2 linked regions of the Alligator mississippiensis genome follow. The protein of the gene in region 1 binds, or shares a complex with, the protein of each later gene. Links are inferred from orthologs where the notes say so. Each region holds a gene or a part of one and is shown in the gene's direction. Other genes may lie near its edges.

Evidence for each region.
Region 2: the proteins of CAST (region 1) and CAPNS1 are in contact, whole or in part, in a crystal structure (PDB 3BOW), measured with the Rattus norvegicus proteins. The link is inferred for Alligator mississippiensis from reciprocal best matches to the Homo sapiens genes CAST and CAPNS1. Residues at the interface, in NP_445747.2 of Rattus norvegicus: Pro652, Ile653, Asp654, Ala655, Leu656, Ser657, Asp659, Leu660, Asp661; in NP_058814.1 of Rattus norvegicus: Phe103, Leu106, Gln109, Leu110, Ile125, Lys128, Val129, Arg132, His133, Leu136, Phe166, Trp170, Lys174, Gln177, Lys181.

What each region holds. Positions count from the first base shown.
Region 1 is NC_081826.1:238,529,173-238,536,928, reverse strand, and holds the start of CAST (calpastatin), read left to right. Parts: upstream 1-4,736; 5' UTR 4,737-4,841; coding exon 4,842-4,895; intron 4,896-5,192; exon of another isoform or gene 5,193-5,266; coding exon of another isoform or gene 5,267-5,296; intron 5,297-7,756.
Region 2 is NC_081838.1:1,008,523-1,015,701, forward strand, and holds the start of CAPNS1 (calpain small subunit 1), read left to right. Parts: upstream 1-4,174; 5' UTR 4,175-4,284; intron 4,285-4,999; 5' UTR 5,000-5,024; coding exon 5,025-5,221; intron 5,222-6,162; coding exon 6,163-6,196; intron 6,197-6,850; coding exon 6,851-6,940; intron 6,941-7,153; coding exon 7,154-7,179. Other genes in the region: transmembrane protein 87A, read right to left, coding at 1-143, 848-886, 1,328-1,384, 1,503-1,622, 1,751-1,836, 1,987-2,047, 3,253-3,375. UniProt on the Homo sapiens protein: Regulatory subunit of the calcium-regulated non-lysosomal thiol-protease which catalyzes limited proteolysis of substrates involved in cytoskeletal remodeling and signal transduction. Essential for embryonic development.

The sequences.
Region 1 (7,756 bases):
ACCCATAGCTACACCAGCCCTGCTGGTGCCCCTCACTCCTGACCTGCTGCTCCCTGCCCCCAGCCCCCCTCAGTGTGTGAGGAAGGGAGTGGGTGTGTGGGGAAGGGGGTGTGTGGACACAGGCGATGCGTTGAGGGGGTGGTGGTGCCCCCTGCAGATTTCTGTGCCCTCAGCAGGGTGTAGGGCTGCAGCCAGGCCAGGCCATACCAGAGCAGGGCAGGAGCTACCTCTGCGTCCCAGCAGGAGGGACTCAGTGCAGAAGGGAGCTCAGCTCCACCATAGCCACCAAGGTGAGGCGCAGCAGTGGCAGCAGTGTGGAGTTGTGCTCCCCACTGCTGCCAGGTGGGCAGGGTGCACCTCACCTTGGTGGTCAGGGTGGTATGGCACTTCCTCCTATGCTAAGTCCTGCTCACTGGGCTGTGGAGGTAGCTCCTGCCCAGACCTCGTCCAGCCAGGCTATGACCCCATGCCCCACACCTCGCTGTGGGCACAGAAATCTGGCAGAGCACATGGTCCCCCCCTGGCCCCTGCCACATCGTCTATGCCTCTATGCTGAGTTGCCTATAACCGCTACCCTACTTCTGCCTCCCTCCCACCATGTTGCCTGTGCCCCCCTGCCCCTCTACACATTGTCTGTGTCCTCCCACTCCTGCCTGCTTAGACTTACCTGGAAGGAGCAGCTCTCCACCAGACTGCCTGGCTGCCACGTGCATGTGTGTGTGTGCACATGCACATAGCACTCCCTGCCCCCTGCATCCTGCTCCCTCCAGCTCCAAGAAGCCCCTTGCAGACTGGAACTCTGCCAGCCTGCAAATGGAAACCCACAGTTTCCTGCATTTTTCTTCCTCAAAGGAGAAAATCTGCGCTTTTCTCCTTCAAAGGAGAAAATCTGTGTTTCCCCAAAGCAAACGGCAAACCCAGGTCCCTGCTCATGAGTCCTGACTGGCCTAGGAGTAGGGCCAGGGCCCAGAGAAAAGGGCCAAAGACTAGGAGGTCACAACTGGGGACCAAGGGGGCCAAGGTACTTCTAGTATGAGAGGGGTGAGAACTGGGGCTGGGATCACATAGCCCAGGAGGGGCACGTGACACTCATTCCTCCTGACATATGCTAGGTGTGAGTGTGGTGTAAGGGGAGGTTGGAGCCATGTAATTAGCCCTTAAGCCAGTAAGCACAGAAACCTAAATTCATGAGATGAGATCAGGCTTGGGAAGCCCTGGGGCAGCCTCCCTTTTTCTAAAAGAGAATAACATCAAGGTGTGGCAGGAGAGAATACCCAAAGACAGCCAGACTACACAGTGGCTAAGAGGGCTCCAGGGGCATTGCAGCCACCCCTAGAGTGGAACCCTGTTACAATCAGCATATGAAAGAGTTTCTAGGTTGTATTTGCTTGCAACAGCAAGGGATTAGATTTAATCATCAGAACCTGTCCAGTTATAAGCATAGTTAGGGATACATAACTGTACTTAGAAAATATACATTTGTATTGTGCATATAAATACTGTTTTACCCAAACACATAAACAAACGTATGAATACCATTTTAGTTATACAACTTTGGAGGTAGGTTGAGATCTATTTGAGTAACTATTTAATGAACTGGAAGGCTCCATGGGCTCTCTGAGAGATGTCTGACTATTTACATACACATCTAACTTGTCAATGGGATTGCTCTAATGCTTAGTTAGGCATGTGCCTAAGGGATTTGCACTTACATTGACCACTCATCAATAATTGATAGGCTAATGACCTCAATTATTGGGGTTTCTCATAGTCTTGCCTTATCACATGGTTTCAGTCCTAGAGCTCAAATTTCAGCTATCAAGAGCAGGGCAATACAGGGTGTGGAACTGAAGCAGGTTCTGTCCTCTTCCTGTAGTACTGTGCTAGCAGGGAGTATCCTATGCACTGCAGCCTCAGGAATGCAGTACAATCTGTTAGACCTGTTGCTGTGACCAGTTATTTTTTCGATGAGCACACAAAAGATTTATGTTAAATTCATATATTAAACTACTTATAGACATCCCCTCACCTTTATCTTCTCCTTTCCATCCCACCCACCATCCTATCTCTGCTGCATACTCAAGCTGTCTACAGTTTAGACAGGGCATAATTCTTGCTTGTGGCTAGTTTTTACTATGGGGTGCGGTCAGAAGAAGGCCCTCAGTTTATTTGTACATGGGACTTCCCTGTCGACCCCCCCCCCCACTTATATTTCCGCCAGTATGGTTTGGTTTTTTGTGGACTTTACTGACAGCCATTTTTAGCCTGATGTTTTACTGACAGTTGGCAACCCTGGTTAGCAGCAGCTTAACTGCAGAAGCAGGGGGTGAGAGAGATACTAACCCCAGGATCTAATTTAGATGGATTTGGTGCTGGAATGGTAACTTCTCCCCAAGACTTTGCTGGCAAGAGCAGTCCATGCCCCTGGCTGTAGGGGCTAGGTGCAGGGACATGGCAGCAGCAGCAGCAGCAGTCTTTGAGTCCCTGGAGTAGGTAAGACTGACCTTTTTCCTTTCTTTTCTCCTCCAACCTCAATTTCTGGTGCTCAGAATCTGACAGCCACCCAGGGACGTTTTGCCCAGTGTGCAAAACTTGTTAGTTATGCTCCTAAATGTTAATCAAGCTTTAAGACTCCAAGTGCCAAACTTCAGATCTGAGCAAGGAGGTTGAAGGATCACCCCAGAAGTTGGCAGATTGCTAGCTGTTTGAAGCAGAAGACCAGGCAGCTATTTCAAGTTAAAAGGGAATAGTGAGGCATTTCTGTTTTATTTCTGTATTTTTGTGTCCAGATCTTTTCCCTATGTTTTTCTCTTAAGCCCCTGCTACACATTACTTATATTATGCAATTAACTGGTTAATTGCCCAATAAATTTAGACTGGTCACCTGTGCAAAGCAAGACTGGCCACAAGTGCAAAGCAGTTATCACACAATTAACTGGCAAATGGCACAATAAATTTAAACTAGCTACATGTGTAAAGTACTAATCACACCATAAAAATGAGTCTCCACCTATAAAAAGAGCCAACCAGCTATAAAGATAGTGCTTGAAACTGTGTGACAGCTCTGTAGTTAGTTTCTATCTGGCTTTAATTTGAATGTGTAGTAGGACTTGCAGGCAATAAACCTGTGGTTTCAGGGGTGTAGGTTGTAGCTGTCTTGATCTAAGGACATAAGCAGACAAGGTTTTATCAGACCAACTCAAATAGTTGGAAAAATTCTTCTTAGTTAGCTTTTGGGCACAAACCCCCTTCGTCAGGCTGAGGCAGTATGTGCAGATGGTCTCTGCTTTTCCTGGATGGAGTGGTAAAGTGACCTCTTCATTCACTTCATCCAGGAAGAGCACAGACCATCTGTAGATGCTTCCTCAGCCTGGTGAAGGGGGTTTGTGCCCGAAAGCTTAAGAAGAATTTTTCCAATGATCTGAGTTGGTCTGAAAAAAGATTTTGGATTTACCCCAAGAACCTTGTCTGCCTATAAACCTGTTGTGGCCTTTTCCTTTTACATTTTGTCTCGAGAGTGATTCTGCAGCAGCAGCTGGCAGCAGCAGATGTTTTGGTCCCTTGGGGCCAGCAGACCTATTTTCACAAACCCAGGGAACCCCAAGGCCTTGCTGGATCTCCTTCACAAACTATAAGGTCTGGTCAAAGTGCCTGTGAGCAGTGACAACCCTAGAAGGGTGCAGGACCTAGGGAATAGCAGTCTGCATGGGACCTAGATGTGAAGAAGCTGGTGGTGGCAGCGGCGGGGGGTGGCAAGCAGCCGGACATGAAGCAAGTGGCGGCGTGGAGTCACTAGCACTAGGCGGGCCCTGCAGGAGGAGCCATGGCTGCTCAGCTCTGCGTGGGCCCCCCAAAGCATGGGGCCCCAGGCAGTTGCCCCGATTTGCCCCCCCTAGGGACGGTCCTGCTGTGAGATTGAGATGTGCTGGCAGGAGAGATCTCCCACGACCAAGAGCTGGTTCAAGCTCTAGCAACACAAAGCAGAACAGCGCGGAGACAGCCTGGAGCTGTGGGGTTACCCCACAAGTCTGAAGTTAGGGGCACGTTATGCTTGAAAGCTTGTCCAGCATCTTCCCCCAACTACTTTCCAGCCAATCCAATAAAAGGTACCTGCAAAAAAACTCCTGGCTTCTCACAAGAAGTTTTATGTCAGGATTTCCACTGGGAACTAAATCTGGAAAGTGCGCAAGAGATGTAAAACCTGAAAGAGTAACCCTCTCAACATCTTTTTTTTCCCTTCGAAGTCTTGAAAAGAGTCCAAGTTCGGTCTGAACTCTGGGCAGAGATCTAGTTTTCCTCCTGTTTTTAGAGTGATTTTGGTACTTTAAAAAAAAACACGGACATTTGGGGAGGTGGGATAGGAGGAAGGAAAAGCGATCTTCTCGGCAACGTTTCCCTAAAACTAGCCAAGATAAGTTTCTTTCCGAGGTGAGGCCAGGCCTAACACAAACCAGCCGATCGGATCCGACTTCTAGGTTGGTGAGTTGGGGGCGGGGGTGGCCTTGTGTCATGAAGCCGGAGCTTTGTCTCAGAGAGAGGAGGAGAAAGCAACAACTCCTGTCCCGTCTCTGCTAGCGACTGAGGCCGGCTCTCAGGTCGCCTAGCGGGGAGCTGGTGTCTTCGCCAAGACAAACCGCCAGCGGGCATCTTGCCCTCAGCCACATCCCTCCCCCCCCCAGCCTGGTGCGGGCGAGGCCCCGAAAGAGGAGTGGTGCGGAGCACCCGCAGGAAGAGGAGGGACTAGCGGGGAGCTCTGGCTCGGGGCGCATCGGAAAAACCGCTTCACGCCCGGTGGAGCCAGCCCGCCGCTTCCTCCTGCCTCGCTCCGCCAGCGCCGAGACATGTCCCAGCCGGGCCGAGGGAAACGGGGGCCCGCCGCCGCGCGGCCGCCGGGGGTGAGCGGAGCGGGGCGGGGCGGGGGGCGCCGCGGCGAGGGGGCGTGAGGCGAGCCCGGCGACGCCCCCATGCAGCCGGCGCAGGGCGTGAGGGGGAGGACGACCCCGGCCCGTGGGGCGCGGGCAGCTCCGCCCCTCCCCTCCCGCAGCCATAGCGACGCGCGCGGCCCCACCCTGTCCGTGCCCTTGCGCCTGCCCCTGCCCTGCATAGCTGTGTGAGGCGGGGCGGGGCGGGGTAGCGCCGCGCCGCCCGTAGCTGCAGGGCAGGGCAGGGCAGGGCGGGGTGGGGTGGGGTGGGGCGGGCCGGGGCTGGGCCTGGGCTCCGTGCTCCCATTGCGGCTCCAGCTGCGAGGACGATCCGGCGGGCGGCGATGGCTTTCGCACGCTGGTGGTACGCCACGGTAAAGACCCGGGCTGCGCTTTGCGGGCTGGGGGCGGAGGCCGCCGGGGCACACCTAGGCCGCAGGGGAGGCGGCTCCGTGCCAGGAGGCTCGCGATGCGGCGCGGCGCGGGCGCCTAGTGCCTGGCTCCGGACCTGCGCCCAGAGGAGAGGCCGCTCTCGGCTGTCTGGAGCCCTACAAAATGAGGGCTGGAAGGGACGTCGGGAGGTCTAGTCCAACCCCCTGCTCTCAGCAGGACCAGCCCCAGCTAGGTCATCCCAGCCAGGGCTTCATCTACTCGGATCTTCAAAGCCTCTGAGGATGGAGACTCCCAAGCTCTCTCTGGGTAGCCTGTTCCTTCGTCCTCTTGTCTTTCAAGCTAAAAGCCGATGTTGAGCGGGATATCTAGCAGCTCGGAAAGGATCCTGCGGCTCCAGTGCCACCGTTTTGTCAAGCGTAAAAGGGGCTCAGGTGCAGTTTTCTCTTCCCCCCCACCCCCTTTTGTATTTGCCATGGCTTGGTTTTGCCAAAGGTCCTGCACCTATTTTGGGTAGAAAACCTGTTAAAGTTGGGTCTTGTCTTTTCAGAGCCCATGAAGTCTCACGTGAGACTTTGGCAAAGACCTGTCACATGAAAAAGATTTGTCTTTACAAGTTTTGCTGCTGCTTTTCATAGCTTTATAACAGAGCTTGCATTCATTCTCTTTTAGCCCAAAACATTTGGGAAGCCGAAATAAATGAGAGATCTTGTTGTTAAGGCAGAGTTAGTTTTGGGTGGCTTTTTCTGAGTAAGTTCCTGCGTGATAATAGGCTTCGTAAACTTGTTCCTAACTGTGGGGAGTTCCTTGATCTACAATGACTCTTTCTATCTTTCTGGGACCTCCCTAGGTAAACCACAAGTTTTTGAGTTTTGGCATAATCTGTATTCTGTACTTAAGCATCCAATGATTACTCTGACTAAACCTTCAATTACATCTTCCAAAAGGCCTGCTTTTTCTAATTTGATGTCAGTCACAGAGGGAAGCAGTTGTAGGGTGTCTGTGCCATCAAACATTCAATTCACTAATTTCCTAAAGTAAAACCTGCAACCATTGCTGATCCTAGGACACATTAGATGTGCTTTGCGAAGAGTTTGCTGGAACATAAATATCTAATTATACAGTTATAACAGTTTTCAGCCTCAATCCTAATTGTGAGTCAGAATTCAAACCAGTTAGCCAGTGTCAATGAAAGGTGGTTAGAACTGTGAGTCCCGGTGTTGGGCTGGATGTTGGGTTGGCTGTTATAGCTGGATTTAGGTGCAAGTATTGCATTAAACTTTGTGCAATGCTAACACATGCGGTAAAATCCATACACAAAACTAGGAGGGTCCCTGCTGTCCTGAGTCACTGAGTTTTGGATCTAAAAGCAAGCAATCTAAAACAAACTAAGCATGTGTTTCAGGGTCAGAAAATCACTTGCACTCATGTTTCATGGGAAATCAATTATCAAAAATATTTGCATCACAGTACCCTTAATGACTCCAACTGAAATTGGACTCTTGTTGTGTGAGATATTGTGCAGTCCCCTAGTAAGAGAGAGTTCTTCCCTGAAGACCTTATAACTTAAGTAAGGAAAGACATACAAAACTTAGAAGGGGAATAAGCAAAAGGCATGAAGTAGTTGTCGTGCTGGGTTTTAGTTGGTAACTGGTTCAAAAAAGAACTGGGCTTTTTGAAGTGGATAATAGATTTTTTTTTTTTTCACTAGCCCCTTGCTTTGGGACTTCCTCCCTTTTGGGCTTATATTAGATTTGTTGTTTATTGGTTTCACTGTTAGCATGTTGTCCTTGAGCCTGGAGAACTTTTTACTTGGGTCACTTGTTTTTGTAAATCTTGTATATCTTGCTGGTTGAGAAAGTAGAGTTGGTGAGTGTGGCTACCAAAGAGCATGTTTTCTGGCACTTTCGTACGCTGTATAGAGCATGTTAAAGTGATGAAAGTCTTAAACTGAAATTGTACACCATGGGTATCTCTTCTCTTTGCCTACTTTGCATAAATTCAAGGTAAATTGTAAAATGAAAAGTTTAGTATTTTGCTTGCTGTATTTTTTTAACTTTATATATAGTATAATATAAAAATGTTATGGGCTAATGTTAGACTTCATCCAAGACATTAAAACAATTAAAACAGCTGTAAGTTAGGTGTTTGCTGTGTCCTCCTTTGACAGAGTTGGAGTTTATGAATACAGTATATAACCCTGATTAAGAGGCTGTTTATTGCATGAATATGTTGGTATAATATGGAAAGGCTGGTTCAAGGTAAAAACTCACTTGGCAAAAACTAGAGGGTTGTAAAGGGAGGATGTGGTAGATATTAGTTCTGAGGACTCTGGCATTGGTATCCTGTTGAGCCTACTAGGCTGTTTTTGACCTGAAGGGCTAAAGCATGGGGGCAGAGTTAAGAACAAGATAAGGGTACTAAAAACAGCATTAACAAGTGGT
Region 2 (7,179 bases), on another chromosome or scaffold:
CCACGGCTCTGGTTTCGCTTCCCTATCATGGCGGGGGGCTCAGTTGCTCGAGTGGGCACCAGCTTCTGCCCTTCGACCTTGTCCTTGGGGGACTTCTCACCCTGGGGGGCCAGGGCTTCCCTCCGCTGAATGCCCACGGGCTGCTGGAGAGAGAGAGAGCGGTACCTTTGCCTCAGTTTACCCCACCTGGAATCCAAGCTTCGCCTCACCCATCCACTGGGCGGTTACAGCAACATCCACGCATGAAAACAGCTTGTATTCAAGCTGCCTCATTACCATATTTCCCCGTGTACCAAGTGCCCCCCCATAAGCCCCACCCCTTGTTTTTGGAAAGCAGCACAGAGGGAAACGAGATGTTTCCAGAGGCACAGCCTGGTGCCACAGAGGAAGTTCTCCTGGAAAGACAGAGCGTCCAGGAAGCGTGTGGCATCCCACAAGACTGGCAGTAGACACTTCCTGGACAAGGGAGGGCTGGGGGGAGGGCAGTGGTGCAGTCGTACCCCGCTCTGATTCCTGCCCCAGCCACGCTTGAAGAGCAGCTGGTTGGCAGAGGCAGTGGCTCATAATCCTGATTCCTACTAATCCTTTTACCTCCCAGGGGGTTAATGAGGTGCTCACACAAGACAGGTGAGCGGTACATGAAGAATTACGGTAACGTAACGCGCTTCTTCTACTCAGCCCCTGGCTGCCCAGAGAAGCAACTTCTGCACTAAACCCCCCTCCCAGCGAGGCCCCTGGTCTGCCACAGAGACATGCAAAAGGGGGGGGGGGGCAGCATGGGAAGATCCTGCCCCCGGGACTCCCTAAGGGGGAGAGTCGTTAACAAGGGGGTAAAGCCAAGACCCACCTTCTTCCCGCTGCTGGTGCTTTCCTTCAGCTGAACCCTCTGGGCATGCAAAGCAAACAGGGGTGTGAGAGAGGCCCCAGGGCAGGGATCCCACTGCTTCCACCACATACATCAATGCTGCAGGGCGAGGAGGGGGGTGGGGGGTGCACTGGCCTAGGTGGGGGAAGCTGAGGCAGGGCAGGGAGGAGCTGGGGCTGCTTCCCAGTGGGGGCCAGGGCCCAACGGGTTTAACATGAAGCTGGTTGAGGTGAAAGAAGAAGCCTGGAGGAGCCCCCAAATGCATCCCATGCATTGGGCTCCCCTTCAAGCTCTGAACAAGCCTGACCCAGCTTAGCTTGGGAAGCCTGACAGGCTAGGAAGCTAATTACAGCTGGCTCGTTAACACCCAGCCAGCACCACTCCCACCCCAAGGGCCAGAGGCAGCAGGGAACAAGGCGGGAGGGGGGACGCGGGCAGGACTCGGACACCCGAGTTCCCTACCTTGGGGTCACTGTAGGGCTTCAGCCGGGTGGGGGAGGGCAGTCGCTCCGTGCTCAGCTGGAGGAAGGGCACAGAGGCTCGGTGAGAAGAGCAGCAGGTGCCGGGGGGGGGGGCGGTGTCGTCCCCCCGCCCCCCCCACGGCCAGGGACCCCCGCCCCCCCGGCTCGGCTCTCACCTCGTGGCTGGACATGTGGCTGCAGTTGAGGAGGGGGAAGTGATGGAGCACGTACTGCCCGGCCCCCCCTGGCACCAGCTCGCGGTCGGGGTTGGCCAGGTAGAAGCCTGCTTTGTTCTCCTGGGGGCGGGGGGGAAGGGTGTGAGACGGGGGTGCAGGGAGAGCGACCCCCCCAAGCCCCACCTCCCTCTGAAAGAGCCCGGGAGTCTTCCCAACCCCCCCCCCCCGACCCCGGCCGGGGGGCTCACATTGAGGGCGACCTCGTCGTGACAGCGGGAGCTGCGCAGGTACCAGGTGACGTTCAGGCTGAGGCCGTGGGGGCAGGACAGCACCACTGTTAACGAGGGGCTGGTCAGTGACCCCCCGCTGCAGGCACCCCCCAACCCGCTCCCGTGCTCTGCTTTCTGCCCCATCCCATGCTGCTTCCTAGCCCCTGCTCTGCTTTCCGCTCCCTGCCCCTCGAGGCGCCGGCCGCAGCGCTCACCCTTGATGACGGACTGGTCGAACATGGTCTTGGGGAAGATGAACAGCCGCTCCGTGAGGTTCTGGGGGCAGAGACGGGCAGGATCAGGCCTCTTGCTCGGGGGGGGGTGGGGGACGGACACACGCACACACTCCTGGGTCCCATTCCCAGCTCTGCTCCACCCCGCCGTGTGCCTCAGTTTCCCCCACCAGGATCTGGCCCTGCCAACAACCCCCCCAACCCCCCCCCCGCAGCAGGACGCCTGGCTTGGGGGCGTATCGCTGGGCAACTGGAGGCTACCACCCACTTATGCAAATGAGCCAGCAATAAATTTGCATGTTAAACAGGCAGTGATCTCCCCCAAAGATATGGTAGAGAAATTTCTGACTTCCCACAATGCCCTGGGGCAAAGCAGGCTTCCTGCTGTCTCTCCATTCCCACATCTATAGGGGCCTGGGACAGCCCTCCTCCTATAGAGCCCCTCCCTCGCAATGCAACCGGGACCCTCTCTATACGGTACGGAGAGCGCCTATATGGGGCCACGTCCGTCGGTGATCGAAGCGAGGGGTCCTTGTCTATAGGTGAGTGGGGGGGTCCACTCCTATAGCAGACTGGGGGAGTCCATGTCTACAGGAGACTGGCAGGGGGAGTTCCTTATCTATAGGGGATGGGGGGGCAGTTCCTTGCGTATAGGGAACATGGGGGGTGTTTATGTCTATACAGGATAAAAGGATAGTCCTCGTCTATAGGGGACTGAGATAGGAAACCATCTTTGTCTATAAGGGACCGGGGGGGGGGTCCGTATCTGTAGGGGACTGGGCGGTGTCTATAGGGGACCACGCACAAGGTAGATCCTGATCTACAGAGGGATCGGGGGATGCACGTCTATAGGGGACCAAAAAGGGACCTATATCGATAAGGCACCAAAAGGAGGGGACGTCTCCATTAGGGACCATGGGGGGGGTTGCCTATAGGGGATGGGGGGGGTTGCCTATAGGGGACCAGGAAGATCCTTCTCCATAAGGAACTGGGGGGGGTCCATGGCTACAGGGGACCAAGGGGCAAGTGCCTGTCTATAGGGGAGGGGGTGTCTCGTGGGGGTCCAGGTCTATAGGGGCCGGGGGGGGGCTAGAGGGGAACACCCTCGCCTATAGGGGCCGGCGGGGGGGTCGCTCCGGGTCGCGACCCCCGCCCCCGGGGCCCACGCCCACGTGCGCGCTTGTGGGCGGGGCCATGTCGCGCCAGGCCCCGCCCCGTCGCGCCAGGCCCCGCCCCCGGGTGACTCACGAGGGTGGCGCCGAGGTCCCAGCGGCCCGGCTCGGCCCCAGCCCCGCGGCCCGGCCCGGGCAGCGCCAGCGGCAGCAACAACGCCACGACCCGCAGCACCCGGCACGGCCCCGCCGCCGCCATCCTCTTCCGGGCGCGTCACGGCCGGGGCGGGGCCAGCGCGGGCCACGCCCCCTGCTTCCGCCGGGAAAGACCCGCCCCCGCTTCCGGCGATAAGCTCCGCCCACAGCCCCCTCCAGGGACCGGCGTCAAGTGCGGGCCGCGCCGAAGAGGGATGCCAGGTCCGTAAGGGACCGGGGCAAAAGTGCCGCCCCGGGGGAAAAGCGAAGAGCTTGCCCCCGCCCCCCTCCAGCGGGCCTCAAGGGACCGCGGCAAAGTGCCGGCCTGGCAGAGGGGCCAAGACCCTTCATTTTACCCTTATTTTACCCGTCTTTAGGGACCGGGGCAAAGAGCCCCCCCACAGCCCGCCCCTGCACCCTGATGCCAGGATCGGGCCCCGGACCCCTGGGGTCTCCCCCCCCACCCTCCCCGCCGTGCCTCAGTTTCCCCACGTGCCGGGACTAAAGCGATGCCCCCCCTTCCCCAGCTCGGGGGCTGCGGCGCGGGAAGGGTTAACGCTTTGCCTCGCAGACCCCGCGGGAACCGACCACGTGGGCGATGACGCACAGCCCCACCCCCCCATGCCAAGTGGCTGAGTCAGAGCCCCCCCCCCCCCCCTTGGGGGGCCCGATCCGGAGTCCGGCCGGGTCTGCTCTAACCACTGGCAATCCTCCCCCCCCCCCCCCCAAGTCCGGCCCGCGGCAGTGTGGGGGGTGGGGCAGGACGCCGGGTGCCCGGGGGGCGGGGCGGGGCAATGGGGGGTGGAGCCGGACGCCGGATCCGGGAGCAGGGCCGCGGGCGCTAGGACCCGGCGGCGGCGTGATTGGCTCGGGCGTGGCAGCCCCCCCGCCCCCCGCACGGCCCGAGCGGAGTCGAGCCGAGCCGTGCTGAGCCGAGCCGAGCCGAGCCGAGCCGCGCAGCCCCGACCCGCAGGTACGCGATCCCGGGATCCCTGCCCCCCCACCCCGCAGTACTACCCCGCACCGGATCCCCCGGAATCCGGGGGTTCTCTGCGCAGTGGATCCCTGGCCCCCCCGGATCCCCCGCCCGATCTTTCTTCCGGGATCCCCCGCTTTTGCTCCCCGATCCCCGCCTCCTCTCTGCACGCGACCCCCCCCTATCCCCAGCATAGAGCCGATCCTAGTGGATCCCCCCCCGGCACCCTCCTGTTCTCCTGTCGCACTGGATCCCTTCCAAGGGATCCGCCGTTACCCGCACCAGATCCACCCCATGGCTCGTGGGGGGACGGGACAGACCCGGGGATCCGCTCCCCTCTCTCCAACGGGGGAGGGGTGGCAGGGATCAACCCCCCCCCCCCGGCCTCATGGCGGGGATCTAGTGATCCCCTCCCCCCCGCCGCTCCCTGCAGCCGACGCCCCGAGTCATCCCGCCCTGGGCTGCGGCTGCGGCCGGGGCGGAGCTGGGCGGACGGGATGGGGGGGCAATCCTGGATCGGGGAGGCAGAGGGGGTCCCGGAGCCCCCCCCCAGCACCGACAGTGTTTTGTTTCCAGGAAACGGGGCATCCTGCCCCCCCCCCGCTGCCGAGCAGGGCTCTAACCACTCCTCCCCACTCCCCAGCCCCGGTGCACCCCCCAGAGAGCCCGGGGGGCCAGGCCGGCGGAGCTGACCGGTGCCTTTGCCTTGCAGCCGGTGCCCAGCTGAGCCCAGCGCCATGTTCCTGGTCAAGAGCTTCCTCGGTGGCGGCGGCGGTGGAGGAGGAGGCGGCGGTGGCGGCGGCGGCATCGGGGGCAACATTGGCAACGTCATCGGGGGGCTGCTGAGTGGCGGTGGGGGTGGGGGCGGAGGCCGGGGCGGCGGCGGTGGCGGAGGAGCCATGAACTTCCTGGGGGGAGTCATCAGTGCCATCAGGTGAGTGCTAGAGGGGGAGAGCCAGGTAACGTGCACCCATTTTCCAGGTGGGAAAACTGATGCATGAGGCCCAGCAATACCCCCCTGTTGTTCAGTTGGGGGGGATGGGGGACTGAGGTACGGGGCAGGACAGCACTTAAGCCCAACACCCTCTCCCCCCAGGGGTGAGGGGGAGGCCAGCCTGCGGACCCCCGTTCAACGTGGGGGGGGGCTGAGACCTGGCAAACTCATGGCAGGCCTGGCTGGAGCCTGGCAGCTGTTCAAGGAGGGATTTCCTCCTCACCCCCCCTCCCCCAGCTGGCAATGAAACGCACCCATTTCTGGGGTGGGGCCTGGCCCGGGGCTAGGACTGTTCCTGCTGGCTACCCCCCAGGTCTCTGGGTGGGGCTGGGTTGGTTTCAGCATGGGGGGGCGGGGGGCTCCGGTCCGCTGAACAGCCCCACCCTGCTTTGTCTCGGACTGGTTGGGCCGGGTGCTGGGATGCGCCCGCCTCTGGGGTGGGCCCTTGTGGCTGGTTGCACGGTGTTCCCCCCCCACTTGGCTCTGAAATGCGCCCACTTCTGGGGGGAGACTCGGCCTTTCTGCGCCCAGCACCAGGACCCAATCCCACTCCACCCCTCAGACCGACCGGGTCTGTCATGCCTCAGTTTCCTCTTCTGTCTCCCCCTCTGAACCTGCCTTGTCCGGCGCCTGAGGCGGGGGCTGGGCGTGGGGTTCATGTCTTCCTTCCCCCATGTAGTTTTCATCCTTTGGGGGAGTCGGGACCCCCCAGAGCCGGGCACAGCCTCTCTCCTGCTGTGTTTGCACAGCTCCGAGTGCGGCGGGAGGGGGCCCGATGCTTGTTGTAGCCATGGGGAAACTGAGGCATGGGCCTGGTCTCTCCTCACCGCTCCTCTCTCTCTCTCTCTCTCTCTCTCTCCCTCTCTCCCCCCACCCCGCAGTGAAGCGGCTGCCCAGTATAACCCAGAGCCCCCGGTAAGACCCAGTGACCTGCTGTGGACACGTGAGAGATGGGGTGGGGGGGGGTCCACCGGGGTCCTGGCATGTCTTGCCTAATGTGGGGGGGGGGTAAACCTGCTGTCCTGAGGACCCAGCCATCCTCCCCCTGTGCCCACAGCTGGGCTGCAACGTGGCGCGTTGTATGCGAGGAGGTACGGTAGGATGCAGGGTCCCTAGACCCCCCCCACACACACACAAGGTCCTCGCTACCGTATCTTCTAGTGTACCACATGCTGCCCCCCTCCCCCTTCCACATAAGACCTGCTCCTGATTTTTGAGCCCACCCGAGGCAGGAGCCTGTGAAATAGGAGCAGAGAGACTAGGGGCAGCCAGCGCCCCCCACCCCCCAGTTTTAGAAGGAGAATTTTTAATGAGGGGTGTGCATGGTAGGCAGGTAATTACAGTAAAGACTGGGGCAAGTTAAAAGGGGCTCAGATCCAGTGCACGGCCCCTTTAACCCCCTGTGGGGGTGTTGACCCCAGGCCCCCTCCCCAAGACCTTGACATCAGTGCCTGAAGGGATTGGGGGGGCGTCTGCGACCCTTTGGCGGGTGGGAGCTAGCCCCTCGTGGGCTTCATGCATCCCCAGGCAGGGGGAGAGATGTCCTGACACCCCCCATTGCCCCCGCAGCCCCCCCGCAGCCACTTCTCCAACATCGAAGCCAATGAGAGCGAGGAGGTGCGGCAGTTTCGGAGGCTTTTCACCCAGCTGGCTGGAGATGTGAGTACCTCCCCGGGCCCCCGCAGCTATGGGGCCCAGATGGACCCAAACCATCCCACAATCCTTTGCAAAAGGCTTCCCCTTCCACACCCTGCCGGGATGCAGCTGCTTCTGGGGTGGAGCTGGGCCCTGGGTTACACTGGGCAGCTGAGTGCAGCTGGGGGGGTGGGGGGCACTGGGGCAGGGGGTGACCCCCTTCTGCCCCCCCGGCAGGACATGGAGGTGAGCGCCTCGGAGCT